Cricetulus griseus: one gene and its partners. The protein of the gene in region 1 interacts with the protein of each later gene in a pairwise test. Links are inferred from orthologs where the notes say so. Each region holds a gene or a part of one and is shown in the gene's direction. Other genes may lie near its edges.

Evidence for each region.
Region 2: the proteins of Rbpms (region 1) and Zbtb32 interact in a two-hybrid assay, tested with the Homo sapiens proteins (3 studies listed by BioGRID). The two-hybrid records come from large-scale screens. The link is inferred for Cricetulus griseus from reciprocal best matches to the Homo sapiens genes RBPMS and ZBTB32.
Region 3: the proteins of Rbpms (region 1) and Csn3 interact in binary tests that used the Homo sapiens proteins (3 or more experiments, as listed by UniProt). The two-hybrid records come from large-scale screens. The link is inferred for Cricetulus griseus from reciprocal best matches to the Homo sapiens genes RBPMS and CSN3.
Region 4: the proteins of Rbpms (region 1) and Sh3rf2 interact in a two-hybrid assay, tested with the Homo sapiens proteins (2 studies listed by BioGRID and IntAct). The two-hybrid records come from large-scale screens. The link is inferred for Cricetulus griseus from reciprocal best matches to the Homo sapiens genes RBPMS and SH3RF2.
Region 5: the proteins of Rbpms (region 1) and Rhobtb3 interact in binary tests that used the Homo sapiens proteins (3 or more experiments, as listed by UniProt). The two-hybrid records come from large-scale screens. The link is inferred for Cricetulus griseus from reciprocal best matches to the Homo sapiens genes RBPMS and RHOBTB3.
Region 6: the proteins of Rbpms (region 1) and Rdh12 interact in binary tests that used the Homo sapiens proteins (3 or more experiments, as listed by UniProt). The two-hybrid records come from large-scale screens. The link is inferred for Cricetulus griseus from reciprocal best matches to the Homo sapiens genes RBPMS and RDH12.
Region 7: the proteins of Rbpms (region 1) and Neu4 interact in a two-hybrid assay, tested with the Homo sapiens proteins (2 studies listed by BioGRID and IntAct). The two-hybrid records come from large-scale screens. The link is inferred for Cricetulus griseus from reciprocal best matches to the Homo sapiens genes RBPMS and NEU4.

Annotation. Positions count from the first base shown.
Region 1 is NW_023276807.1:51,013,607-51,016,541, forward strand, and holds the end of Rbpms (RNA-binding protein with multiple splicing), read left to right. Parts: intron 1-2,123; coding exon 2,124-2,255; 3' UTR 2,256-2,374; downstream 2,375-2,935.
Region 2 is NC_048602.1:5,237,551-5,242,029, forward strand, and holds the start of Zbtb32 (zinc finger and BTB domain-containing protein 32), read left to right. Parts: upstream 1-1,506; 5' UTR 1,507-1,725; intron 1,726-2,603; 5' UTR 2,604-2,702; coding exon 2,703-3,568; intron 3,569-3,765; coding exon 3,766-3,839; intron 3,840-4,120; coding exon 4,121-4,285; intron 4,286-4,433; coding exon 4,434-4,479. UniProt on the Homo sapiens protein: DNA-binding protein that binds to the to a 5'-TGTACAGTGT-3' core sequence. May function as a transcriptional transactivator and transcriptional repressor. Probably exerts its repressor effect by preventing GATA3 from binding to DNA.
Region 3 is NW_023276807.1:153,111,605-153,115,961, forward strand, and holds the start of Csn3 (kappa-casein), read left to right. Parts: upstream 1-1,459; 5' UTR 1,460-1,460; coding exon 1,461-1,517; intron 1,518-3,850; coding exon 3,851-3,883; intron 3,884-4,357. UniProt on the Homo sapiens protein: Kappa-casein stabilizes micelle formation, preventing casein precipitation in milk.
Region 4 is NC_048595.1:195,855,236-195,859,532, reverse strand, and holds the start of Sh3rf2 (E3 ubiquitin-protein ligase SH3RF2), read left to right. Parts: upstream 1-1,312; 5' UTR 1,313-1,402; intron 1,403-2,681; exon of another isoform or gene 2,682-3,129; intron 3,130-3,500; 5' UTR 3,501-3,607; coding exon 3,608-3,985; intron 3,986-4,297. UniProt on the Homo sapiens protein: Has E3 ubiquitin-protein ligase activity. Acts as an anti-apoptotic regulator of the JNK pathway by ubiquitinating and promoting the degradation of SH3RF1, a scaffold protein that is required for pro-apoptotic JNK activation.
Region 5 is NC_048595.1:297,015,134-297,018,637, reverse strand, and holds the end of Rhobtb3 (rho-related BTB domain-containing protein 3), read left to right. Parts: intron 1-811; coding exon 812-927; 3' UTR 928-2,912; downstream 2,913-3,504. UniProt on the Homo sapiens protein: Rab9-regulated ATPase required for endosome to Golgi transport. Involved in transport vesicle docking at the Golgi complex, possibly by participating in release M6PRBP1/TIP47 from vesicles to permit their efficient docking and fusion at the Golgi.
Region 6 is NC_048598.1:124,423,074-124,427,368, reverse strand, and holds the start of Rdh12 (retinol dehydrogenase 12), read left to right. Parts: upstream 1-1,439; 5' UTR 1,440-1,479; coding exon 1,480-1,669; intron 1,670-2,108; coding exon 2,109-2,264; intron 2,265-3,023; coding exon 3,024-3,128; intron 3,129-3,934; coding exon 3,935-4,144; intron 4,145-4,295. UniProt on the Homo sapiens protein: Retinoids dehydrogenase/reductase with a clear preference for NADP. Displays high activity towards 9-cis, 11-cis and all-trans-retinal. Shows very weak activity towards 13-cis-retinol.
Region 7 is NC_048595.1:445,312,201-445,316,597, reverse strand, and holds Neu4 (sialidase-4), read left to right. Parts: upstream 1-1,469; 5' UTR 1,470-1,481; coding exon 1,482-1,682; intron 1,683-1,786; coding exon 1,787-2,042; intron 2,043-3,253; coding exon 3,254-4,233; downstream 4,234-4,397. UniProt on the Homo sapiens protein: Exo-alpha-sialidase that catalyzes the hydrolytic cleavage of the terminal sialic acid (N-acetylneuraminic acid, Neu5Ac) of a glycan moiety in the catabolism of glycolipids, glycoproteins and oligosacharides.

The DNA of each region.
Region 1 (2,935 bases):
GGCCGAAAGGAGGCTTCCAAGAGGAAGCCTGATCTTATGGGAGTTGCAGGGAAGACAAGGTTGCTTATTGCCATGTGCACAAAGGTCCATGTCAAGGGTAGATCTCCGCAGCATATTGCTCAGCCTGGGTTTTAGAAACAAACTCCTTGCTTCCCCTCCAAATACAGGGAGAGGCATACCAGCTCTTCCTCTCCCTGGAAGCCATGGTTCTTTTGAGAGCTGAGGATAATAATGAGACCCGAGCTTCACCCTTGGCATAACCACTCATGTAGTCAGCCCATGACAATTATTGCTGGCCATTGACAAGTAAAATATAGGTTCTATCTGTCTTACTACATATGCCACTCAACCTGGCCTCTTAAAAATTGCTGGCTGTGGACTGGTAGGATGGCCCATTGGGCAAAGGCACTTGCCGCCAAGCCTGACAGCTTGAGTTCAATCCCCAGGACCCACAGGTAGAAGAGAGAGCTGCCTTCTGCCAGTTGTCCCCTGCCCTCCACACCAGTACTCGTGCAGACACCCAAACTAAACAAATACTATAAATCTTTGTAAATTGTCAGACTGGTCAGGTGTGGGGGGGTGTTTATTTTGCATGGTCTTTGTTTCCAAGGCTGGATGATACCCCTTCATGTCCTGATTAAGAGGCCTGGGAGCAGCCCCAGAGAGTGTTCCCAATCCACTGTGTCAAGAGTACTGCAGGCCAACCTTTCTTTATCTGAGACTCCAGTGCTTTTTGCCTGCATTGGCAACTGGTTTCCTTAGCTGTTTGTTCTCCCTGGGGCATCATCTGCTTCAGGCAGACAGAGTTCAAAGGGAACCCCATTGTCTTGTGCCCGGGAACAGATATTGTCTGTCCTCTTCAGGGAGGGGGTACAAAGCAGTGTGGGGAGTTAGGAAAAGTGCAGAGGTGGCAGTGACTTGCCTTGGTTCAAGAAACAAACTGAAGTCAAGGATCAGGTGTGCCTTTTGCTTTTCCACCCTCTGCCCGGTGTCTCTACATGGGTCAGTGTTCAGTAACCCTGGTGACTGCCAGGTAGCAGGCAGGAGCAGCTAGGTGGTGGCTGTCTTTAGCTGAGTCGTTAGTGGTTTTGTGCTGTGGATAACTTTGTTGACAACAAAGGTCCATAAAGTCCCCATTTTGTGTGCCCCACACTTCGTGTGCAGGTATGCCCTTCTTGCTTAGGGTTCAGGAACAGAGCAACCAACTGTTGGGGTTATTAGCAGTACACACCATGAAACAGTGCAAGGTTGCACATCGGGCAACAGAGCCATTCACTGCTGCCTGGAGAATCAAGGCTTGCTAATGCCCAGAAAGACCTGGGAAGACTGGCTTTGGTCATGATGTGACATGACATCTGGAATTATTTGCAGGATATGGAGGGTAAAGGCTCTCTAACAAGGGTCTTGGGAGATTTAGAAAGCCTACGCCCCTGTGAGGAGGGATGGAGACCCAGTGCAAGATTAGATGCATCACGGCGTGTGCCTCGTTGGCATACATCACCCACACGACCCCCTTCTCTTGAGACTTCCCCAGCCTGCAGTCCTCCTAACTCAGCCATCAGCCCTACCTTTGGTGGAACTCCGATCTGCTGGTGGTGAGATCCATGTCGAGTCTCACTTCTGTAGAGTCATTTAAATGAACATTCTTAATAAATGTATTTGTCCATGTTGGAGTGAACTGGTAGCTTTGCAGACAACTGATCCAGCCCGTTACACAGACAGGGAACAGGGCCTGAGGAGATGGAGAGTTGTCCCAAGTCACAGTGGTTCTAGAGTTCTAGAGCAGGTCTGTCACCTGCTTCCCTTGCTAAAACAGCAAGGCGCCAGCTCACCTAATTCTTTTACTCTTGATGGAATTTTGGAGAGGCCTTGCTCCAGCGATTTCTTGGAACTTTCTTTTCTAAGTAAATGGGAAATCTGTCAGGAGAGCCTTGGAGGCCAAGATGGCTTCCGAGAATACTGACTAGAGGGGAGCAGAGTGGGGGCCCCTTCCTAGGTGCCTGGGGTTTTGTTTTGGAAACTGAGTGTCTTGGAGATTCTTCTGATTTTGCTTTTTTTTATTTTTTATTTTTTGCAATGTTGTGCTTTGTTTTGAGACATGGATTTTTTTTTTTTTCTTCTAGTGTTTCTCTCCAGAGGCAAAGCCCAACACACCTGTCTTTTGTCCTCTTCTCCAGCAAATTAGATTTGTCTCTGGGAATGTGTTTGTCACATATCAGCCTACTGCAGACCAGCAGAGGGAGCTCCCATGTTGAAATTGTTAGCAACCCCCACCCCCCTTTTGCAAAAAACAAAAAAAATCAAAAAAACAAAAAACTATTTCTTGATGATATTTGAGAGATTTCAATAAAAATTTCAATCAGAGGGAAAATGATCTCAAGTAGACTACAGAGTTTGTTTTCATGGTGCTACAATTTTGGAGCAAAAGTATTTAATCTCTGGCTGAGTTTGTGAGTACCTGGCCCGTAGAAGCTAAGTTGCATGTTTCACGGGAGCAGATTCTGAAAGAGCACCCTAGAAGACTGCGCCCAGCTCCAGGGCTTCATCGATGCCGCTGCCATCTTCTCGAGCTCCGAAACCACCCTGAGCTTCATGTTAGAAGATCCTCGTGCCAACAGGTCATCGGCTACCAGAAGTTCTTGCATCAGCACCAACAAGGCTGCCAGATCTAGCTAGGGGACACATACTGCTGTGTGCCTGCTCTGTTCCCAAGGAAGGGAAGACCCCCAAAATGGGACCTCCGTTATTGAGTTGGATCCCATTTCTAGTTCGGTTCTATCTAGTCATGAGCTACAATTCTCTCTCTGGTTTAATGGTACTTATGTACCATCAAATCCCATTGCTTTTGATCTAATTAATGGTGGCATACACCTGTAATCCCTTCTCTTGGGAGGCAGAGTCCTAGCCAGCCTGGGCTTTAGTGAGATTCTCTCAA
Region 2 (4,479 bases), on another chromosome or scaffold:
CTCAGGGTGACGAGGCTGTCACCAGACCCCAGTACCTTTCCCTCCGCAGCTGTGGCTTTGCCCCACTTCTTGTTTTTAGAGACTGGTTTTGTGTTGGAGAAGTTTTGTCTGTTTGCACACCTAGTGGAAGGATTGTCATTTTGTGTCTTTTTACATGGGAGAATCTCGTGTGTTCCCAAGTGTGTGATGTCAGGAATTAGAAAGCCCAGAAATGGAAAATATGTAACTTTCAGGGGAGCAGATGAACACAAGTTGCCATTTGCATTTTCCCTTTCGCTCTGACTCATCTTCCCCTATCTCCACCCTACTGCCCCTTCGCCAGCCTCACCCACCGACACACCCTGTCTGACCTAGGAGGGGCTGACACCTGCCTGCATCCAAGCTAGAATGGGAGGGAAGGCATCCTAGGCCCGGAGGGAGAGAGTAGAAGTCTGGTCTGAATACCCTGGAGCCCTGGAGCCAAAGGGAGAAAAGCAAATGTTACCCCATTGGGGCTAGGAGGGGCCGGAATCCAGGGAGAAACCTATGGGGACCGAGACTGAATCTTGTCACCACAGCGTCTACCAACGTCTGCCTAGTTTCTCTTTTAGCTGTTTATTGTACCTATATGAATACCAGACACATGCCACAAATATCCCAAGATATCTTCTCAGGGAATGGAAAGATCAGCTTAGGAATCGGATTAATAGAATGGAAAAAAAGGAAAAAAAAAAGAAACTGAGTCTCAAAGGGTTTGTCCCTTCCTCAAATTACAGAGTGTCAGAAATGGGTGTGGTGGCACTGGCTGAGGCAGGATAGACATTTCAAGGACATCGTGAGCCACACAGGAAGAGGAGAAGAGACGGTGGTGCTAAAAGCGTGATAAGAGGCGGAAATCTCCAGGGATCTTGACCCCTTGGGCAGAAAGTGAAAGAAGCCCCTGGTTTTGATTTCAGAGAAATGTCATTTGTCATCAGCCCAGGAAAAGGAGATTTTTCTCTTCGAAGACCACCACAGGCTTCCTGGGGTTGCCCCCCTCAGAGTCTGCTTGGAGGATCTGAGTCACACACACACACACACACACAACCCCAGCCCTTGCTGTGGTCCAGAGGACAAGGGTCAACCTCACAGAATAAGAGGGGCTCAATGTACCCAGCCAGGGAGAGAGGAAGGAGGCATGGCCCCCAGTTCCCCCGTGCTTCACATTCTGCTTCAGGCAGAAATGGTCTGCAGCTACTCCACACGTCTGTCACCTCTAAGACAGACCGAATAGCAGCTGAATGCTAGGCTGTACTGGCGGCTACTTCCCTATGCATGGCCCTTGGTCTTCACCCCTCCTCCAAAGGACACCAGTGGTATTTGACGCATGAGGAGACTGAGGCTCAGACAGATGACTTGCCCAAGGTGACTCAACTAGTAAATGGCACAAATGAGGCTCAGCCTCTGACTGTTCCAAAGTACCTGTGGCCACAGTTGATGTCTTTGGCTCTAAGGAATTGACAAATCACAGAGTTAGGTGAGGAGGCAGCCTGGGTTGTTAAAAGTAGATGGGTAGCCTCTGGCAGGTCTCAAGCAGAGACAGAAGGTATAAAGCCACACCCCTTTGGGGGGGACTGTGGCAGACTGATACTTGGGATGACTGAGGACAGGGGTGGAGCTAGCTGGGGTGGGGGGCAGGAGCCCCAAGAGCAGTATCGAGCATGCGAGCATGCGAGCATGCTGCGGTGCTAGGAGGCAGCTACAGAGGTGAGTGTTGTCTCCCGGAGCTGAGCCCCCTCCATTCCAACCATTTCTGTGCAGTCCCTGCCAGCTGGCACCCTTCACCCCAAGGTGTCCAGGTAGTAACCCTCCCTCCCTCCCTCCCACAGGGCCCCGGCTCACGGAGGGCCTGCATGCACCGGGGGTAGGCCTGCTAGGTGCTAAGACACTTGGGCTATTTCTTGATCTGTCTGTCTCCAGTATCCTGGAGGCCTGTGATGGTTTTCTTGTGTGTGATTCAACCCTCGACTTATTGGGCACTTTCTAAACCATTCGTTAGCCTCATTTTGTTCTCCAGTTTCCCTTTCCTTTTTCTCCTTCCACAGGCACCAGAGCCTTCTCTAAACCTCTGGTGTGGCTCTCTCAACTCGCTGGATGGCAATCTCTAGTCTTCCTCATTCCTTCTCTGTGTGCTAGAAGCTCCAGCCTCGGAGTGATGCCTAGCACCTGCTCTCCCTGCCTGGCTGCCTGCGTAACCTGTCCAGCTGTCTGGGCTCACATTGTGGGAAGACCCACAAGCTTTTTGAGGTCTTTCATGAAGTGGCATCTTACTCATTCATAAATGCCAAGTTTTGTGAGGAAAAGCCCAAGCTGCTCAGTGGGTCTTCCCTGCAAAAGAGCCCGGGGAAGCAGCAACCTTTAAACCCGAGTTTGCTAACTGTACGGGTCCTAGACCCCACTGCTTGCTACCTCTGCTAACTGCCTGGCTCTTGCTCCTTAGGCCCCAAACCTGACCCAATGTGGATGGATTCTCTTCCCGCTGCTTCCCCAGCTTGCCTTTGACTTGGTTTATATGACTCATTCAGGACAGACAGCTCCAGTCTGAGACTGGAGAGTCACTCCTCTTTCTCCCCTCCCCTCCACAGGCCTGAGAATATGCGGTTTCTCCCTCCCCTTTCTGCCATGGACCCCCCATTGTGGCTTTTCTGTCAGAGCCTCTGAAACTGGTAGATTAGTCGAGAGCAATGCCCCAGACCCCCACAAGGCTGATCAGCCCCTATGGCTCTGATCGGTTGGTGCAGTTAGCGGCTAGGCTTCGGCCAGCACTGTGTGATACCCTGATCACTGTAGGCGGCCTGGAGTTCCCTGCCCACAGCCTGGTGCTGGCAGGTGCAAGCCCGAGGCTGGGATGCAGGGGCAGGTGGGCTCTGGTTGAAGGCATCAGCCCTTCTACCTTTGCTCAGCTGCTAACCTTTGTGTATGGAGAGAGCGTGGAGCTACAGCCTGGGGAGCTGGGGAACCTTGAAGAGGCGGCCAGAGCCTTGGGGGTGCAGGCCCTGGAAGAGGCATGCAAGCGAGCTCAAAGGGACAAGAACGAAGATGAGCTGCATGGAGGACTGAAGAGGCACCAGGTGTCAGAAGAACTCACGAGGAGTTCTGAGAGAAGACCGGGGGGTCCTGGAGAGAAACAGAGCCCAGAGAAGGATTTTAGGAGTAACAGGAAAGAACAGGAGACGTTACACAAGCGCAGAGCACCCGGAGAGAGCCCTGAGAGGGCAGGGCTAACTAGGAAGATGAGAGCAGAGGAGGCCCTCAGCTCAGCCCCTGGGGGCCACAGGGGAGCAGAAAGGAAGCAAGGAGAGGCCATACAAGGTATAGAGAGCCCTGAGGGCTCTGAGGAGTGTCTTCGTGGGTGCCCTGGTCCCCTTTCCCTACCAGGTTCCCCCCTAACCAGCCTCATTCCCAGGCCCTGGTGGGCTGAGGCCCCTTGGTTGGGAGAGGGCCAACCTGGCCTGTGGAGCATCTTCCTGTGGCCGCCCAGATATGGCATTCCCTCCTCCCTTAGCACCCCCGTCACTGCAGCCTGGCAGGTCTGGCCTCAAGACCAGAGGTGAGTGAAGGGCTTAGTGGAAGGTATCTAGGCTGGGGGGGCTTTAGCTCAGGAGAGGCAGCAGTCATGGGTGGGAGGGAACCACGTCTCCATACGTTTGCTAAGTTAAGGAGACAACAAAATATTCTGATCTTGAGAGAGGCCAGAGCTGGTTAGGTTCTCAGGCTTCGCCAAGGCTGTAATTCTTCTCCACCCAGGATCCCACTGACCTTGAGCCACTCCAAAGGTCTCTGGAGTCAGAATCAGCTGGCCTCCTCTAGCTCCACTCCAGGTAAGCCCCTCATTGTTCCATCCAGGGCTTCTGCACAGCAGCTGGGCTCCAGGAGTCAGGCCTTAGCAGGGCCCCTACTTTACCCTACTTGCAGGATCCTTTCCCCAGGGCCCTGAACAACTCAGCCCTTGGGAGACAAAAGAGTCTGGGTAAGGGTACACAGTAAGCAGGGCGAGAGAACTGCTACCTCAGGGTCACCAAAGCTCTCAATTTCTTGCCTGGATGTATTGACTCAATTCAGGGATTCTGGTCATGCCATCTTGACTTCTCTGTCCACACAGGCACACTGGCAACCTGTGTGGGTCAAGAATGCACACTGAGCTGTCCATCTCACCAACACTCTGCTTTACCCCTTCCTGCTCGCTCCCGGCCCTATTCTTGCTCTGTCTGTGGAAAGAGGTTTTCACTCAAGCACCAGATGGAGACGCATTACCGAGTCCACACAGGTATGGGCATACTGCCCAGTGTGAATTTGTCTTTTTTGTTCCCATCGCTGGGCTGCCAGTTCCTCCCTTGCCCCATTGCTCGACACACCCCTAGCTTGGCCAACCTTCGCCCATTTCTTCCTTCTCTGGCTTTCTCCTCCACCTGTAGGAGAGAAGCCCTTCTCCTGTAGCCTCTGCCCTCAGCGCTCCCGGGA
Region 3 (4,357 bases), about 100 Mb from region 1:
AAAAGAAATCCAACTCCTAAAAGGAGTCTAAATTAGTCTAATCTCATCTAAAAATTTTAACAAAGAAATACTAGTTTTCAGATGATGATTTGAAAAGATAACTGGAAAACAAGAAATCTAATAAAGAATTCAATCCACTCAAGGAAACATTTTACTTAGGTTGTCCAAACTTGATTACACATGAGATATTTGCAATTCAGTGATCTCTTAGAGGTGGGGCTAAAGTCAGTTTAGCAAATGACCTTTCTAATCCTCTGAGGCTGACAACAAGAGAGGCAAATGGGGTCTCATATTCTTTCCTTTTCCCTCCTGTGGGGGGGGCAATCTTGGTCTTGATTCTGAGACTCTTATAAAGCTTTTCCATAACTCAAGTTTATACAAGTATAGAAAGAATAATAGCTACAGTAAGACATGGAAGATTCCCTTCACAAATACAATATATAGTAGTAACATATTAAAAGACTGAAGTGTTATTATCTAAGAACTATTAAAATTACACAAGCAGACAGGCATTGTGACTCTCTTAGAAAAAGACTAATTGATTTCTTAAGATATCTCAAAGACATTAAAATTGCCATATCTATATGTCTTATTAAAGCAGTGAAATTGATCATATCTCTTATTACTGGAAAAGTAAATTTAGATGTTGACAAATGCTGTTTCCCAGAAGATCTATCCCATGTCTGATATATTAATTAAGGGTCACAAAATGTTAGAAATGACCCAATTTAAAGTCCTGCTTTTACAGATAACAAAGGTAAGGCCTAGAAAGAGGAAATTATATGCTCAAGGTTACACAGGCAAGTTCAAACTCAGTCTGGTCACACTGAACTATTTTCTGCTCACAGAGCCATGCCTCAGTCTTTAACATAGAGCACTGAAGTCTTTACTTCTAGATTTTAGACTTTCTACGTTTATCCTGTCTATCACTTCAATCAAAATGTCTATAGGTGTTCTCAAAGCTTACCCTTCTTTGAAATGTTTCTCTCTCTAGCAAATTCTTTTGAGCAAGTCTTGCCTCACAGACTCTGATGATTATCTGAAATGAAGATTTCTGCTGATAACAGCCCACCTTTGTGACATTCCCACTTGTTCCTTGTCTTGTGGTTTGTATGTATCGTAATTTTCTCATCCTTAAGAGCCCATGCTGTTCATTAGCAAGACCTAGCTCTAGTTTCATAACCTCGATGTTTGGCAGAGCACATATTCTCAGTAGGCTTTTATCAAATGAACAGATGATTACATTGTAATGATAGCTTCGTAAATAACCAAAAATTATCTTGAAACTAATTTTGCTTCAAGTTTGCTGTTTCTCCACTTTTGAGAAAATAGGTTCCCAGCACTGGCTAAATCTACCTATAAATTCAGAAGGTCCCCCCCCCTTAGGAAAACATTGCATACAATCACTTCTAGCTTGTCAGCAAAAGAGTCTTATTTTTTTTAATTTATTTTTAGGTGCAATGATGAGGAATTTTATCATAGTTGTGAATATTCTGGCATTAACTCTGCCCCTTTGGGTAAGTTAACTTCAATTCAATTTTCTATGTAAGATGTTAAATAAATTTTATTTAAGAGTTCCAATTGTATGAATATCAAAATAGAAGCACTTCAAGGAGTGTAACAGTTGGTTAATAGTTTTTCTATGTTTACTTATATCATAAAAATAAATATTCTTCTAGATATCCATTTGGTTGCCATAACACATACTGCATTGTTCATAGAAAATCTTCCAAATTCCTATACTATAGAGATCTGTTTTTAAATTAGAAAATGCTGTAAATATAATTCATAAGCCATAATGTAGGAATCCTAGTCCAGTATCAGAAATCCTTTTGATGAAATTCTGTCCCTCCCATCCTCCAGCCTCCTTATGGACTAGATGCTTAAATACTTTAAATACTTAACTTATTTCTCATGATTTCTCATTCTGTAACTCTGCTGCTGAGGTGCAAAACCCAGATCCCACAGTAAGTTGATATTATCTCTATTAGAGACCTGAACTCATTTTTTTCTTTTCTTTTTTATTTAAATTAGAAACAAGCTTGTTTTACATGTCAATCATAGTTCCCTCTTCCTCTGCTCCTCCCCTGCCCCCCACTTACCCCCATCTCATCCCCTTTCTGCGCCCCATGGAGGGTGAGGCCTTCCATGGGGGATCTTTAAAGTCTGTCATATCATTTGGAGCAGGGCCTAGACTCCCTGTGTCTAGGCTGAGAGAGTATCCCTCTATGTAGAGTGGGCTCCCAAAGTCCATTCATGTACTAGGGATAAATACTGATCCACTACTAGAGGCCCCCTAGATTAACCAGACCTCCAAACTGACATCCATGTTCAAGAGGTCTACTCTTAAAACTAAATAAATACTTTAATGTTTCAATAAGTTTAAAAGACCTTCAGGCTTTCTAGGACTCCCATTACTAACTTTTGTGTCACTCTTTCTTATTTTGTGGCCTGGCCAAGCCCTTACCAGGTATCCATATCCATAATTATTTCTATGGCTGGTAGACATGGAATGATATTTTATGTTTAAAGGTGAATCATGTAAAAGGGTCTGTTTCTTTTATCTTTTTAGCTAATCTTCACTGCAGTTTATGCTTTCTTTTCACACTCATTCTGCAGTTTCAAGAAATGCATCTGCCAGCAGCCAAAGTGGGGGGGGGCAACCTAGAGAATACTGTGTGCCCTCTTGTTAAGATTATAAAATTTTTAGAGTACAAAGCATTTGATTAAATTATTAAATGTAAACATTTGTCTAGTAAACAATACTTTTGAGTCAATTCTTGGGGTCAAAATTACCTTTAAAATTTTACCATGAGTTTAGCATTTAGTTACTTTCATTGATTTGTTGAAATTTTGTTCTTGGTTTTTTGGCAGTCAATTGCATGTTAAGAACTTGGATTTTCTCTTTGAGTAAAAGGATGTAAGTTTAAGTCATAAGATGAATCCCTTCCTGTTCTACAGCAATTCTAGAATTATTGGGAGTTTATAACAAACTCTCCTTTCTTATTTCTTTATTAAGGATTTTTAATTAGTAAATGTTAGTTGTTCATAATAATGTGCTTCATCATGACAGTGACATACATATGCAAAATGTATTTCGGTCACACTTGCCCTCATTTACCCTCTTGTCACTCCTACTGTTTTGCTTCCTCTTCTCAAAAAGTCCCTCTTCTACTTCCTATCGTTTTTCTAAACTTTACTTTTCTTATTCTTAAATTTTTATGTGTGTAAACAAAACATAATTAAGAGAGGTATGTGTAAAAGATCATTTACATGAATGTGGTCAACTTACATGAGTGTGGGCAACTTACCAGTGGCTATGCCTCTGAAGACATGCCTCTTCTAAAGAGGTTTCAATTGTATAATAGTTCACACTCTGGACTTTGAAAATGCTACTTCCTCTCACAGCAACAATTAACTACCAACAGGTTCTCGGGGATAGGGGAGTGTTGTGAGTCACCTCCATGCTCCATGATGGGATTTGGACAGGCGGCATCTTGTGCAGGTCTTGTGTAGACAATCATAGCTGCTGAGACTTCCAGAGTATGAAAGCCACATCCTATCTGGAAGACAGATTTGCAAAGGTTTCAAGTCACAAGAGCATAATGAAATAATTCAAAAGAAAAGAGGTTTATAGATTTTACCATTCAATTTATGAGCTGCCAAAAGCAGATGAAAATTGCAATGTGATTCTTTCTTTTATGTGCTAATTAAATACTTACATCAATGTAAAAATGAGTATAATATTCATCTTATCTTTAATACAATAGTGAAATGGAAAACAAACAAAAAATCTCTGTTTTGATTTTTCTCCCTTATTATTTCTCATTCTTTTTCCCTAACCCCTCAGATTTCAGAGGTGCAAGGTCAAGAACAACTGGCTGTAAGTCTATTTTCAATTATTTATGACTGAAATATAATTTATGTAAATAATAGTCTGCAAAAAAAATACATTCTGATTTAAAAACTAAAAAAATTATGTGCTCTCCACAGAATCAACTGGTACCTTTTGATAAGTGAAAACACCACTTAAACAAGATATATGAACCAAACTGGATGTTTGCCTGATAGCCTTAGTTTCTTTGACTGGCCCAAGTTGTGAGGGCTCAATTGCATGTTTACTTGGCTTATTCTCCATGTGGAGTACTTAAAGGAAAAGAACAAAAGTAGAACTTAATGTCTGTCTGCCTACTCTATATAGTTCAGTTGGAGAAAACATCTTGCCTGACTCTTCTTTAAATCCACCTCATTTGCTCATATTGATGTCTCCTTTTGTTCTAAAATGTGTTTGAAGGAATACATTAGCTATTTCTTTTTATGGGAAAAGTTGCTGTGCACATAACTTTGTTGTTTCATT
Region 4 (4,297 bases), on another chromosome or scaffold:
AGAATCATAGAGGGAAGCCAGGCATTAGTGGTGCACGCCTTTAATCCCAGCACTCAGGAGGCAGAGGCAGGTGGATCTCTGTGAGTTCGAGACCAGCCTGGGTCTACAAGAACTAATTCCAGGACAGCCTCCAAAGCCACAGAGAAACCCTGTCTCGAAAACCAAAAAAAAAAAAAAAAAAAAAGAAGAAGAAAGAAGAATCATAGAGGGAAGAAGAGGACACTGCAAAACCCTGCTACAGAAGAGCTACTGTTGGAGTCCACTCTCTAGAAGGCAAGGAGACTACAGGGCAGTTCACAGAGGAGCTGAGCTCTCCTGAGAGGAAATGAGAGTGAAGGATCTGCAGAGAGCTTCAAACTGCCCTCATAGATAGACACGGCAAAGTGGAATGGGACGGAATGCTGTTGAAGCTCGAAGTGCAGATTTGAAAAGAGTTCTCTGAAGTGGACATGTGTGGGAATTAAGGCCTGAGACCAGAAGAGAAGACTACACTTGCTGCTTCCAAACATCTCCTTCATTCTGAGTTTCATGCATGTTAAATTTTTTTAAACTGACATGGAAGAACACAAGAAAGACAAATGACCGAAGGCTTCTTGATTCCTTCCTAAGATTTCCCAAGGAGCCATGTCTAAGTGATTTCCTGTGATAAAGAATTACCATCAGGCAGGGCATTTGGATCGCTGGTAAAGTCCTTGCTAGCAAGTATGAATCCCAAGGTTCAATCCCCTATGCCCCTTCAAAGAATTGTTGTCCCCATGCTTAAACATAAGAAGAGTCAATAGATAGAGAGAGGATAGGGGAAAAATAAAGAAATAAAAAAGAAAGGGAAATTGACTTGTATTGGGGGATGGGGGACTGATTCTCATAATATAGGCCAGGATGGCCTCAAAATCATGATTCTCCTGCCTCTGCTCTCCCAGTACTGGGATTACAAGTGTGGCCCACCCATCCAATCAGAAGATACCAGGAGGAGGAGGAGGTGGTGGTGGAGGAGGAGAGGGGAAAGAAGGAGGAGGAGGAGGAGATGGAGAAAAAGAAGGAGGAAGAGGAGAAGAAAAGGGAAGAAGATGAGGAGGAGAAAGGGAGGAGGAGGAAAGGAAGAAGAAGACCCAGTTTCCAGTTGCAGCTTTACCCTCACTCACCAGGCAACTTGAGAGAATCTCTTGATCTCTCTGGGCATAGCTGCCTCATCTGCAAGGCATGCTGATTGGTCAATCTGAGTCATTATCTCCTGACTTCTTGCCATATTCTCCATCCCTGATGAGGTTGGGTGTCCTCAAACCCTCTCTTCTCTTAAAGCCTGCTCACTCCATGGCACAGTAATTAAGAGCACAGACCACCTGCCCCCCGTTGGATGACTAGCTTTCCTGTCCATCTCAGCATCCTCATCTGGCTGGTTAAGGTAAACTGTAGTGCCTTCAAGTTGGGGAAAGGGTTAAATAGGCAAATGCAAGGAAAGTGTTTAGAATAGTATCTGACACACACAGGGGGCCACCTTGATGTTACGTAGCGTCATCACCTACTTGCTCAACTGGACTGTTTTGCGACTGCACATGAGTACATTACTGATAAGTCAAAAATGGAACTTTAGCATCATTTAAGGGGTGTGGGATGACTACAGGAAGTAACAGACAGAGCAGATCTGGGATCATTACTATTGCCTTTTTAAAAGATCTTCCTGTGGTCTGATTTTCAAAGTATGTGCACACACACCCCACTCCTTTTTTAATTGGAAGAAACTGAGCCAAAGATTACTGAAGCCTCTCTCATCTCAACATTCAAGGAGTGATTATCACTTTTAAGACCAGTATTTTATAAGAGGATGCCTTATCTTTGAACCACAGCTATCATTAATATGTTTGACCTTCTCGGCAAATCCTCATAAAGGTTTAAAAATAAGCACTAGCACTTGGCACGTTTCTAGCCAAGCAACTTTAAGCTGCTTGAATGGGAGAGAAAATGGGGAACATGGGCCCACAAACTGTTCACTGCTCGGTTCTAGCTGCGGTGACATCAAGCATGGGTCAGCCGCGGTGTGTGGGCTGGCAGGCAGCTGCTGGCAGCGACAGTGTTAACAGGGTTGGGTAAGGTGATCCCTTGAAACTGGAAGGACTTTGTGGAAGTTTTCAAAGCTTGCTCGGACGCCCAGCCCTGGGGAGGAAAGGCGGCTAGCCAGTTAGAAGGAGCAGCCCCAGATGAGACCAGAAAGGGGCGAAAAGATTGCACCTGAAATTATAGGCACAAGGTTAGTGGTCCCATGCACCTCTCCAGTGCGCCGACAACTTTGGAGACAGACCCCACCACCCCACCCGGCCGCCCCAAGGTGCCATCTCTGTTCAGGACACCTCACATCTGTCACGCTAACTGCTGGGGGCCACCAGCTCGCCTGCCAAGCCCACCCGCGGTGTCCGGTGTCGGCAGTCACAGGAGCCTGGGCGTGGCTGACTTGTACCCAAGAGACCTTTCAAAACCGGAAACTTGGTTCTCAGGCATCTGAAATGAAACTGTTTCTAAAACCAGGATTGTTTTCGGACCACACACACAGACACACAGACACACAGACACACAGACACACAGACACACAGACACACAGACACACAGACACACACACACACACACACACACACACACACACACACACACAGACACACAGACACAACACACACACACACACACACACACACACACACACACACACACACACCTCCCTCCCTGCCCGTGCATGCTGCTTCCTCTGGGCTTTTTTCTGTAGGCTGTGACCACAAGCCTGAATTCCTTTCTGCTGCAGCTGAAAGCCAGCCAGCACAATTGTCAAAGCAACTAAACAGGCCACAGGACCTCACCTGGTAGGAGGAAGACTATCTCTGGCACTACACTAACCTGGGGCAGATGAAGGCATGGAAGGAAGAGGGGAGGAGATGGAAGAAGGAAGAGGGACGTGACAGGGTAAAGTCAAAACAATATCGGGGAATAGGAATTTTTCTTGTATATTGCTAGAACAAAATAGTGGAGGGAGATCTACTGGAGGGAAAGAAGTCTACATCTGCATGGAGTCGATAAACACTTCCCTAAGCTCATCTACTCTGCTACAGATAGAAGACAAGCCAATCTAGTGGAGAGGAAGGGAAGGTAGGTAGATAACCTCACAGAAATTGTGTTGTCAGGGCCTTAGTCTGAGTTAAGACTGACTGTGAACCAGGCAGGAGAAAGCACTCCTCCAGTCCTTCCAGCAGAGAAGCAGCTCCCAGCCTGAGCAGGCTAGTTTTCTCTCCTTGCTGGGGTCCTCCGCTCAGAGGCAATGAGCACTCAGTCACTGTGCAGAGTTCCCTCAGATTCTTGCAGCAGGCACAAGTCTTCTAACCTGCAAGACTGAATCAGAATGAGTCACTTGAAGCTCCCGGAACAAAGTGCTTGCAGCTGCCTCTCAAGACACAGCCTCCATGTAGGTGGGACACACCTCTCAGGGCAGTTACATTTTTTTTCCTCCTTCCTTCAAACAGGCAGGGAATTCTGATGCTCCCGAAAGACTGGCTCTACCCCCTCGACTCGGCTGCCGCTACAATGTGAATCCTGCTTCTCCAGGTCGGGACTGGAGTTTTAAAATAAAATGGATGATTTGACGTTACTTGATCTCTTGGAGTGCCCCGTGTGCTTTGAAAAGCTCGATGTCACAGCCAAAGTCCTCCCCTGCCAGCACACCTTCTGCAAACCATGTCTACAGAGGATTTTCAAGGCCCACAAGGAGCTGCGGTGCCCGGAATGCAGGACCCTGGTATTCTGCAGCATCGAGGCTCTGCCAGCCAACCTGTTGCTGGTGCGTCTGCTGGATGGTGTGCGCTCCGGGCAGAACTCCTGGAAACGGGGCTCCTTTCGCAGGCCTCGCATACTGACCTTGCAGGACAGCAGGAAAAGCAAGACCAGCCCCAGAAGTCTACAGGCCAGCCCTTTCCGGCTGGTGCCCAGTGTTAGGATCCACATGGATGGGGTAAGAAAAAACTTGCTTGCTCATAACATGTGCATTTTGAGGCTGGTCGTGTGTATGCCGAGAGCTAGGGAACAGACTTTCTTCACGTGGACAGACTTCACCAGAGTGCTGGAGATGATTCCCCAGTTGGGTGAGCTGTGATCACTTTACTGAGCCCCAATGGGAACTCTGAGCCTATCTAATCTACCTGACAATTCGCCTCAGAACTTCTAATGCTTACTAGAGTCTCTTTGGTTCCTGTCCTGAGGTTGTCAAATGAGGAAAGTACTTGTGAAAAATCTTTTATGGTCTTTTACTTCTGCTGCTAGGGGG
Region 5 (3,504 bases), on another chromosome or scaffold:
GTCTTTTAGTTCCTGTAACAGGGATCTTGTTAACCCACATGCCCATGAAGTTAAACAGCCAGATAAGTATGAAATGCAAGTGCACACGGAAGGAAGAGATCCCTAATCCTTAAGTGTTTAAAGTACTAGGCGTGTCGGAGGCAGGATGAAGCCTGGGCCCTCAACAATGGGATTCATAAATGTTGACTAAAGAGCTTTGGTAGACCTCCCTCCAATTAGTGGAGGCAACTTTACAGGAAATGGGAAGGCAGAGAATCCTAGCCCAACGAATCATAGATTTGTAGACTCTGTGTGTAGCTAAGCTTAGGGTAAGGGCCTGGACTGCAATGCAGGTTTCTATGAAAGTGGGTCCAGAGTGCACAGTGTACAGGGAGGCTAGAGGAGCAAGCCTGAAGCCCAGGAACTTACAATATGGCAGACACTGGAGCATAGGTAATAACATCGGGAATCAATAGTTCAGCTGGTGACTGTCACTGGATGGGAAGTTGAGTCAGGAAGACCTTATAGAGTTTGAAAGGTCAAGTTATCCACAAAGAAAAAAATGAATTTGTTATCTCCAGTAAAAACAAAAGTTTTATTCAAAGAAGTCAAGTACTACTTGGTGGAACAGTGCATGTCATCATAAATTGCATAGTAGTATAAATCCTGATGGCTTCTTTTATCCAAATTCTAAGTGATTCTGGAAGGTTATGGGAAGGATGTGGAATATAACAGAGTGAACTGCTCTGTCACATAGTGGTCAAACATTTGTATTTTATCCTGACAAAAAATAAGGCATATGCAATTAACTTTTTTCTCCTTAAAATTTTAGTGGAAGAACGAAGTTTTGTTGAGAAGCACAGATGGCCATCAAACATGTACCTGAAGCAGCTGGCGGAGTATAGGAAGTATATCCACTCTCGGAAATGCCGCTGTTTAGTCATGTGACCTGCGCTTTTGTATACATACACTTTTTTATTATTATGAAGAATGGGTACCTCTGGGTTCCAGTAAAATTCTTATAACTAAATCGGTATGGTATTTTAAAAAGTCACCATACAGCTTCTTATTGCCTATCTTTGAAGGACTGTGGCAGTCTTAAAAGGAAGCACAGTCTACAGACTTCAGTGCTTCCCCTAGAATGTAAGACTGTTGGACAGTGGCTTCTCCTCTAGGTTGCCCCATTGCTCTAATAACACTAAGACCTCTGGTAGTTAAGAGATGTTTAATTTTTTGAAAAAAAATCATCTAGGCTACATACAAAAATTTCATTATGTCTGACTGATTGCTCTGCTAAAATAAGGGCCATTCAAAAGCCAGGTGTAACTGGAATTCGGGGGAGTGCTAACCAGTGGGGCATGAAGTTGTGGGAATAGAAATTTGCCATGTAACAGTTATATACCAGTTGGTTCCAGTCCAGTAAAAGTGTTTGAATCAATCAATCAATATAATGAGGAACAACTGCTGCATCTGGACTATCTAACCGCATCTGCTCGTTAATCAGCCACAAACCTAATCAGGGATAGTAGTTACTTCCATGGAACCTTCTGGATTCTGCAGGCTCCCACACTTAGAAAGGTCTGGCACTTGGTTTAGTGCTCTGCTAGTACAGCTGTTAAATTCTTACAAATGTTTGGAGAAGGGCCTCATATTTTTACTTTGCACTGGCTTCCCAAAATTATATATATTTCCTATCAGGGAAGATGCAGTTTCTTTCCTTCCTTCCTTCCTTCCTTCCTTCCTTCCTTCCTTCGTTCCTTCTTTCTTTTCCAGACAGGGTTTCGCTGTACAACAGCCCTGGCTGTCCTTGAACTCACGTTGTAGACTAGGCCAGCCTTGAACCTACAGAAATCTGCCTGCCATTGCCTCTGGAGTGCTGCCACCCTGCCTGGCTGAAAATGCTTTTTTCTTATTCAAACTTCACTCCTAAGAGTGAGAAACAGAAGAGTTGCAGATGCCAGGAGAGCAGAGTGGAGATTCCCTCCTTTGGGGAGGCTTGTACCTAGCCTCCACAGTGACCTCTCCTGACAGTAAGAAATGCTTTTTCTTGGCTTTGGGACACTAGCTCACTTCTGGCTCTATCCCGGAAGAGCAAAAACTTGATCAATATGTGAAGCCAGGAAGTTGATAGGAGTGACTGAGTAGCCTGACTATAATACACAGTTACAAAGACAATCACAGGGAAAGATGCTTTGTAGAGACTTGGCTACAAAAGCTTAAGAGTTCTTTCATTTAACTTTATCTGTTAAGATTAGGATGTCGGTGGCTTGAATTGACTTCTTTCCAAGGACTGAAAGGATATCTGGTGTGAAATATCAAAGCCACCTAGGAAGGTAAAAGAAAGGATGTAAATCAAAGACCTGCTAGATGTAGAGACAGTTGGCTGGGAAAGCTGAGTTAGTTATTTCATATCACATGTTGGCAGAAATGATTCTGCAGGATGCACAAAAGCTTAGGCAAGGAAAAAGCCTATCACTGTTTAGTGTTAGCATCGTGGGCATCTGGAATTTAGTACTGGGATATACTTTTCTAATTTCCAGTGATTTTAATATGCATATTTTCTCCAACTTTTCAAAAGTTTGATTCAACAGTCTTTCCTGTAGTGTTAGGATTACATGCAAAAAGCCCTTTTGTGTGTACCAGTACTGTCAAAATAATGGGAAAGAATTCTTTTAGCTAGAATCCCAAGAAAGCTCATATTAATTGTGCTGTGTCAGTGAAGATTATTGGAATGAATTTTGGTTTTGTATTTTAATCACTTGAATTATTCAACTATTGGCACATCCCATTTGGTGGCTTAGCATTGTAAAGAACAGAATATAGCAATACCTAGAAGTTCCTTTGCAATTTTAGATCACATGGTAGCCTTTTGATACTCAGAAGCATATGCTCACCCTCTGTGCTAATCACAGCATTTAAAATTCCAAACTTTTAGGAAATTGAAAAATAGGAGTTGAAAAACAAAACATTTTCCTGGAAATAGTATTTTAACATTTAAATAGATCATAACTGGTTCCTCTAGGGTGTTTCTCCTGAGTAGGAGCTGAGTTTGGAAATGGGTGGTCTAGAGTGTTTATTGTGGAAGTTCTTCACTACCTGTGAGAGTGACTGGGGCAGCTGTGTGTCAGAATATAAATGCGTACTTAAGCACATTTGAATACAGACCCCTCAGCACTGTTGAATCTACTCATCTGGAAGTGGTGAAAATTTTCAAATACTTAAAATGATCATGGCTAAATTAGTGTTGGTTTTGAGGGTTGTTTTCTAATCAAAGGATTATTTCTAGATGACTTTATGCTTTGTTGCAAAATTTCTGCTTCAATATATTTACCAAGTATCTTAGTTAGAGAGCATACTGTGTAGTAGAACTAAGGCCCCTTCTTTCAGGGCCAGGTTTGCATCCTATTGTGCATTCTTTGTATGCTGCTGGCTACTTCCTCCCAGTCCTACTACAGGGGACTAGATTTCTAATAGAGAGCACTGGCACAGTGACTGAAGCCCACCCCTGTACAAGCCATACTTGGG
Region 6 (4,295 bases), on another chromosome or scaffold:
GTTCCAGGACAGTAAGGGCTAAATAGAGAGACCCTGTCTTGAATACCCACCCCTAAAAAAGAAGGTTAGATAGACATACTAGGGTTAGAGTGTCAGAGTGTTATACCCCATCCTGACCACTTTTAGAAATGACTTGAACATCTTTGGGCTTCAGCTTTCTCCTTTGTAATATAGAAATAATGTTGAAATGGCTGAGGAGATTAATATAAATTACATATGGAAAGATAGCATGTATGGCCAGTAACTACCTTGGGAAAGATAGTGAGTGTAGAGACTGTCTACCCTGGGGTAGACAGTGAGTGTAGGAAGTGTCTGGCCTGGGATAGATATTAAGTAGAAAGTCGAGCCTGGGATAAACAGTGAGTATAGAAAGTGTCTAATGTGGGACAGACATTGAATGTAGAAAGTCTAGCCCAGGGTGGACAATGAGTGTAAAAAGTGTCTAACCTAAGAAAAGACAGAAAAAGCAGAAAGTGTCTAGCTCAGTGTCTGTCAGCCAGTGATGTTCAGGAAGTGTTCTCACCTCTCTGGTCTTGTTTTCAACAAGAAATTTTTCTCTGTATGCCAATGGCCTAAATAAAACCCTTAACACAATGGCAGGAAAAAGAAAGAAAAGTCTCTCAGGATGCTCTATTCTCTAAAACTGAAGAGACAGCTGAGGGGTGATAACTTACATGTGTCAGCCCAGATGGTGTTCACCAGTTCCTATGGTGACTATTGGAGCCACAGGGCTCAGGGCTATTGAATCCACTAGTGTTCATCACCCATGTGTTTCCAATGTGGGTCAGCGGAGGAAGCTGAACTATAGGAATCTAGAGATTAGATTGAAATCTTTGTTACCTGATAAATGATGCCTTCATTGGCTCAGGAGCACTTTCTATGCTTGTTCCAGTGACTATTATCTGCTTCTGGACACATGACCTTCCCAACTATGCCCATGGGCTGGCTACTACTTTGCCCAATCAAACAGTGGACCATGCAAATTAACTTCTTTTTTGCTTGTTTTTCAAAACAGGGTTTCTCTGTGTAACCTTGGCTGTCCTGGCACTCTGTAGATCATGCTGTCCTGGAACTCAAAGAAATCCACCTGCCTCTGCCTCCCAAGTGTGGGATTAAAGGTGTGAGCCACCACTGCCAGCTCAAATTAACTTCTTTTTTTTTCAGATTTTTAAAATTTGAATAAGAAACAAGATTGTTTTACATGACAATCCCAGTTCCATTCTCCCTCCTGTCCTCCCCTACCACCCCCCAACTAAAACCCTACCTATCACATATCCTTTCTTCTATTCTTCCCCTGACTCAACCTTTCTGCTCCCTCATGACCTCTGCATCCTTCCTCTTCTTCCCTTCTCATTCTCATAGCTCCCTCCCCCCTCTTCCCATGTTCTCAATTTACTCAGGGGATCTTGACTCAAATTAACTTCTTAAGATGACAACGTTTTATGACTTCGATTTAAAGCCCTCCCTCTTTGGAGTTCCATGGCCTCATTTTATGCATCTCAGCATGAGAATGGGAAAATTGTGTCTGATTTTTGTTCATTTGGTGACAGGAAGTTCTTTGCTGGTGGAGTTTGTACAACGAATGTGCAGATTCCTGGGAAGGTAGTGGTTATCACAGGTGCCAACACAGGCATTGGCAAGGAGACAGCCAGAGAGCTTGCTCGAAGAGGTGAGTGTTTTCCCTGTCTCCTCAGAGCCACACCTCCTGCCCTCTTCAATGGGGTCCTGCCTGGATTTCCTTGTCTTTCTTCCTGGGCTTGGAGGTTCTGATGGGATTAGAGGAAACTGGAACCCAAGTCCAATGTGACACTAATTTACTCTGTCTTTCAGCATAGCTCCCTCCTTCCTGTGCCTTCCCTACTTCGGGGAGTAAAGAGAATGTTGTCTCTGTGTAATATTAGTCAAGTCCTTTATTCTAAGGTAGATACTAAGCAAAATTAAATATTAAGAGTGTAAAATGAGGCTTCTCAACTGCGCTGTGAGAACCCGGAAGTGGCAGTATGGCCACTCCCACTACCATAGGGACAGCTATGAGTGTGCTCTACCCATCAGCTGCAAGCTCACTTCCTGTACCTCTGCACACATTGCCCTTTCTACTTTGGCTCAAGGAGCACGAGTATACATTGCCTGTCGAGATGTACTGAAGGGAGAGTCTGCTGCTAGTGAAATCCGAGCAGATACCAAGAACTCCCAGGTGCTGGTGCGGAAACTGGACCTATCTGACACCAAATCCATTCGAGCCTTTGCTGAGGGCTTCCTGGCAGGTAAGGTTCCAGTGAGTAGCCAGGAAGGCAGGGAACTAAATGTAGGGATGGCTGCCCCTCCCAGGACCATATATGGCCCTTTCATCATACCCATGATCCCACTGGACAGGTTCAGCCACATGAACCAGCAGGACAGGGAATTGGCAAAGGGATGGCAGGGGGACAAGCTGGGCAGGATCTTTATCAACGTTTTGCTCCACAGTGGGAATCTTGGAGGTTTCATCTCCATGTCTGAGCTTGTACCATGGCACAAGGTGTGGCCCTGATGCTGCTCTTTTCTTTCATCCAGAAAATCAACCTTCTGTGGTTACAGGCACTCGATGAATTTGTGCTATTGTCAAAATGTTCCAGTGTCTTGGGAAAGTACCAGCATCTACCAAGGACTACAGGTCCTTGAGGGACAAGATCTAGGTGTGCCTTGTTTTCCCAGGGCCCATCAATGTGTGTCTGGTCCAGAGTTGGTGGTTGGTACACATTGGTCATATAAATGAACAAATGGTGTCCGGGAAGGTTATCAGCAAGGAAAATCAGAAACCCAATGACAGTGGTGATTCTATAACATGCAGATGGGTCCAAATGGGGAATAGTTATTGACTTCTGAGGCAACATCTTATCTTAGAAGACAGGAGAAAGATAAGTGATAACCGTGCCTAGCAAAGAGTGTTCATAGGTGAAAGTCAGGGACAAACACTTGAGACAGTGACAGGTGGCTAGAAGATGCATTGTTAGTCACAGGATCTCCCTGATTGTACTCAACAGAGGAAAAGAAGCTCCATATTTTGATCAACAATGCAGGAGTGATGATGAGTCCATATTCTAAGACAGCAGATGGCTTTGAAACCCACTTGGGAGTCAACCACCTGGGTAAGTGTCTTTGTGTGGCTAAAAAGTGTGTTATAACCCACCGTGTTCTCTGTAGGAAGATGGCCCTGCAAAATGCTCAGGATCTCCACTGATCCTCATAGAGTCTTGTAGGGTCCTCATGGGGTCCTCATGGGATTCCTCTACAAAAGACACATTGCTTGTTTGCCCTTTTCTAAGCAGTCAAAAATTGTGACTCTGTGTTTCTATTCAGAAGTCCCCATCTCAGAAGATACTAGGGGGAAAAGTATCATCCTTAAATGGTCTAGTGGCAATGCAGGGCTTGCTGGGCAGGGCCAACCAGTGAGTATTTAGGGATCTGGATTTGACAGGGGCAGTGACATCCAATGAGAACCAAAGGAAACCTTGTGCTGGTATGTGGGGGTGAGTGAACCTTGATAAGTTGATATACAAGATAGATTGGTGTTCAGAGTTCAAGATGAAGGTTCTAGTCAGGGGAGCATGTGGCATATCCCTAGGTCCTAGGCAAGTGTCCTTTTCCCTGACTACTATAGCCTTCTTTCTGTGTGAGTAGATGAGGACCCATAGTTATACAGAGAAATTAGAGGCTAGCAGGTGGGTATATAGACAGTAGATTAAATATCATTACTACCATCTAGCTTTGATCCCTGCTTTGGAGAATCAACTAACTTAGAGCAAGTGACCATTTAGCTTGGAGTGACTCATGGTATCAAACTTTATTCACACTCAGGGGACAGTGAGCTAATATGGAAGTCCTGTCATGGGTTTCCATACCCCGAGCCTAGAACCATTCTATCCTTGAGTTTTACTTTTGGATTTCTTTGTAGGCCATTTTCTTCTTACATACCTGCTTTTGGGGAGGCTGAAGGAGTCTGCACCTGCACGGGTGGTAAACCTATCCTCAGTGGCCCACCTTGGTGGCAAGATCCGTTTCCATGACCTCCAAGGGGAGAAACGCTACTGCCGTGGTTTTGCCTATTGCCACAGCAAGCTGGCCAATGTGCTCTTCACTCGAGAGCTGGCCAAGCGGCTCCAAGGTACGTGTGGAGAAATAATAAAGTATTTTATTATTTAAATTATAATATCAGGATCCTTGGGCCAGCTTATAGGTTCATAGAAACTTCTGGAACCAGGCTGTTGAATGTACACATTTTAGTGGTATTCTGTATGGTCCAGAGAATGATCTAT
Region 7 (4,397 bases), on another chromosome or scaffold:
CTTCTCCTCCTCCTTTTGTCTGTATTGCTTTGGAACCTGTCCTGGAACTCTCTCTGTAAACCAGGCTGGCCTCGAACTCAGAGATCTGTCTGCCTCAGCCTCTTGAGTGCTGGGACTAAAGGCGTGCACCACCAATGAACGCCTGGCTGCTATTACTTCTGTATGGCTTGTGGTAGGCTGGTCAGGAGTGGCTGGTGTGGGCTGTGTGTGTGGCTCTGGTTTGGCCTGGGGTGCCTGGTCATGAGTTGTTTGGCTGGTGGTGGTCTGGCCTAGACGGTTGTGAGCTCTGACTGTTCGTGTCCTGCTGGTAATGCACCCCTTGCCCTGCCTTCCCAACAACCCCACACCAGCTATATACACTCATCTTCTCGTCTGCCATTGTGCAAATCAGACAGTGGTACCTGGCAGGCCCAGGTCATGTCCCCAACTTATCTCCCACTAGTCCTTCTTTGAGAGGCTAAGTGGGGAAGAAATATGCCCTGGGGCTGCTTGGTCACCCTCCTGTGGCTTCAGTTCCATGTGGAAGTGTTTCCAAGCTCAGTCTAGAGTCCCACAGATGAGGATGCAGAGGGTGGGGGTACGGACAAGAGGGGCTAAGCTGCTCACAGGCAGATCACACCGTAAGCCTCCTGACCTTGGCTTGTGGGTGAGGTTAGGGAGTGGCCGCAGGGGCAGACAGCACAGCGAGGGCCATGCGGAGAGAGGCCTTTGTCCTTCCTCATTCAGCATGTCCTCCTGGCCTGGAATGCTGCCACCCGCTCCTCTGCTCCATCAGCCTGGCAATGACCCTGCTCTGACAGGGAGGAATCAATTTAGGGCCAAACAAGGACCTCTCTGGTGTCCTTGGCTTTCTTTTTGCTGCCTTTTGATCTGCCCTGCCCCTGGCTCTCTCTGGTGCCTATGAGAGCTTGGTATGGATGCTGCAGGAGAGGGCTCTGCTGTTCTCCAAACCACCAGCCAGCCCAGGGATCCCGTGGGCGCATGCCCTATGTCTGAGCTATTTTCTGTGGAGATTTCTGGAGTTCCCTTCTGCTTCCATGTGGGTACCTTCCAGTTTCATCTGCCTCTGCCGTGTGGTGTGCCTTCCCTGGTCTCACATACCATATTTGTGAACACTGAGCCCCCCTCCCCCTTTTTGTCTGACTTTGTCCACTTGCCCATACTCCTGGTAGGCGAGTTTTGTGGTGATATGTGTCCAGGACACACCAGCTGGAAGGATGTGGGGTCTCTCTGCCCAGCTCCCCAGCACCAGTTAGCCTGGCAAAGGAGCAGCTTGGAGAGAACAAAGGGGCCTGCTCTATAGATATTTGGGGTGCAGTGGCTGTGAGGGGTCTGCAGATGGGTTGTGAGAAGTCTGGGGAGAGGGAGATTGGAAAGTGCCATCAAGAGGGCAGGTGTCTGTGGGGCTGGCTTGTGGCCATGTAAACCTGTGGTGCCTCCTCCCCAACAGATTCCAGGTGTCCTGCTCCTACCTGAAGGGCATGGGGCCCTCGCGTGTTCCCAGAAGGACCGTTCTCTTCCAGCGGGAGAGGACGGGCCTGACCTACCGCGTGCCTGCGCTGCTCAGTGTGCCTCCCAGGCCTACCCTGCTGGCCTTTGCAGAACAGCGACTCAGCCCTGATGATTCCCATGCTCACCGCCTGGTGCTGAGGAGGGGGACACTGGCCAAGGGCTCAGTGCGGGTGAGTGCAAAGCGCTGAGGGGAAACGGAAGCCCAGCTCTACTGATCCCTCTGGAGACTAAGGTCAGGCTCCAGATGTCTTGACCAGCTGCCTCTTTTTCTTAGTGGGGCACCCTGAGTGTGCTGGAGACTGCGGTGCTGGAGGGGCACAGGTCTATGAACCCTTGCCCGGTGCTGGACGAACACTCGGGTACCATCTTCCTCTTCTTCATTGCGGTGCTGGGCCACACGCCCGAGGCCGTGCAGATCGCCACTGGCAAGAACGCTGCTCGGCTCTGTTGTGTGACCAGCTGTGATGCGGGCCTCACCTGGGGCAGTGTGCGAGACCTCACTGAGGAGGTCATTGGTGCAGCATTGCGGGGTAGGTGACACCTGGTGTGGGATGGGCTGGTGGTGTGGGGCGGAGGAATTGAGTGGGTAGGAACAGGACAGGGCAAGATGGGCTTGGGCTTGACCCTTGCATAGGCCCACCAGTCACTTGGAAATCTTCATTCTGCCTCTCCTATCCTCAGTTTCTTGCCCCACAACCCCCAAGAGCAATGACTTCCTAACACTGTCTCCAGGACTGTCTGGCATTCCCCAAGCGCCTTCAGTGTTGGCAGGGCGGCAGCTAAAGCCCACCAGGGGCTCCCTTTGTCTTGGTCTGTAGAGGAGAGGGTTGGGGCTCTTATTCTCTTTTACCACTTCCTTTTGCTTTTCGCCTCCTCCTCATCCAGCCCTGGTCTCTGGCCCCCGTCATTTTTTCCACCTCTGCAGTCCCCACCTGCAGTTGCTGACTCTGTTTCACTACCCGACTCCTGCTGATAGGCGTGGCCCTAGGGGCTACAGGACCAGGCCCATGACTGCTACTTAGAGGGGTGTGGCAGCTTCTGGGAGGTGGACAAGGACAGTGGGCACATCCAAAAACCTCACCCACGGTCTCCTCCCTTTACCACCCTTGTGTAATAGCACTTGCTCCAGAAGTTGAGCTCTGCTGGTGATCATTAAGCCTCTGTTGGCTAACAGCTGGGGAACCGCTCTGTGGTAGACCACTTGTTTGGCCCGGTTTCTGTGCTTTGCACCCCCAAACAAAAAGCAAAAGTCTCCCAAGTGGCTGGAGAGATGACTCAGAGTGAAGAGCTTGTATGGCTTACAGCTCTTGCAGAGAACTGGAGTTCGGTTCCCTGCACCTGAATTGGGTGGCTCACAATTGCCTGTAACTCCAGCTCCAGGGCATCTGCCACCTCTAGCCTCTATGGGCACCTGCACTTATGTGCACACCCTCCAAATGCACATAACTAAAGATGTATTTATTATGTATACATGTATGCCTGCAGGCCAGAAGAGGGCACCAGATCTCATTACAGATGGTTGTGAGCCACCATATGGTTTCTGGGAATTGAACTTAGGACCTCTGGAAGAGCTGCCAGGGCTGTTACTCTCTGAGCCACCTCTCCAGCCTCCCCCCAACCCCAATGCACATCATTAAAAATAAGTCTTTTAAAAACTTTAAGAAGGCATTTGACCGAGCAGGCTCCCAGGATTATGCAGTCAGATGACCCAACCCAAGGTTCTGGCTCCTTCTTTCTGTAGACTGGGCCACCTTTGCTGTGGGTCCAGGCCATGGAGTTCAGCTGCGCTCAGGTCGCCTGCTTGTCCCTGCCTACACCTACCACGTGGACCGCCGAGAGTGTTTCGGCAGGATCTGCTGGACCAGTCCCCACTCCTTGGCCTTTTACAGTGATGACCATGGAATCTCCTGGCACTGTGGAGGCCTTGTGCCCAACCTGCGCTCTGGAGAGTGCCAACTGGCTGCCGTGGGTGGAGACTTTCTCTACTGCAATGCCCGGAGCCCTCTGGGCAACCGGGTGCAGGCACTGAGTGCTGATGAGGGCACCTCCTTCCTGCCAGGGGAGCTGGTGCCTACACTGGCAGAAACTGCCCGTGGCTGCCAGGGTAGCATTGTGGGCTTCCCAGCCCCACCCTCCAGCAGGCCTCAGGATGACCGGTGGCCCGTGGGTCCTGGGAATACCCCACATTCCCCATGCTTCTATCTCAGAGTACAGGAGGCTTCAGGGGAAGGTGCTGGGGGTCCTGTTGAAGGTTGGGTTCCCAGAGGGCCATTCTGCACCCCACAGACCTGGGGTCTAGGGAATCATGGCTCAGAACCTGGGCCAGGTGGAGATAAGACAGTCTGGAGCCCAGAACTCCCTGTGTCCTCTGCTTCCCTGCTTCAGAGTCCCACATGGCTGCTGTATTCCCACCCGTCAGAGCGTAGAGCTCGGCTCCACATGGGAATCTACCTGAGCCGGTCCCCCTTGGACCCCCATAGCTGGACAGATCCCTGGGTGATCTATGAGGGCCCCAGTGGCTACTCCGACCTAGCGTTCCTTGGGGCTGTGCCTGGGGCGTCCCTGGCCTTTGCCTGTTTGTTTGAGAGCGGGATCAGGGCCTCCTACGAAGACATCTCTTTTTGCTTGTTCTCATTGGCTGATGTCCTGGAGAATGTACCCACTGGCCTAGAGATACGCAGCCCCAGGGACAAGCCTCAGGGGCATTGCTGGCCCTCTTGATGGCCTGGCCCTCTGGCAGGCACCTGGGGAGGAAGGGGAGAGTGTATAGAAGAGGCTGGGTCAAGTCAGCATGACCCTGGGATGGACAGTGTCTTCCTTACTGCTGCTGGGGGATGTCACTGGGGAGCAGTCTGCTGTCTGCACTTGAGTGAAAAATAAAGGGA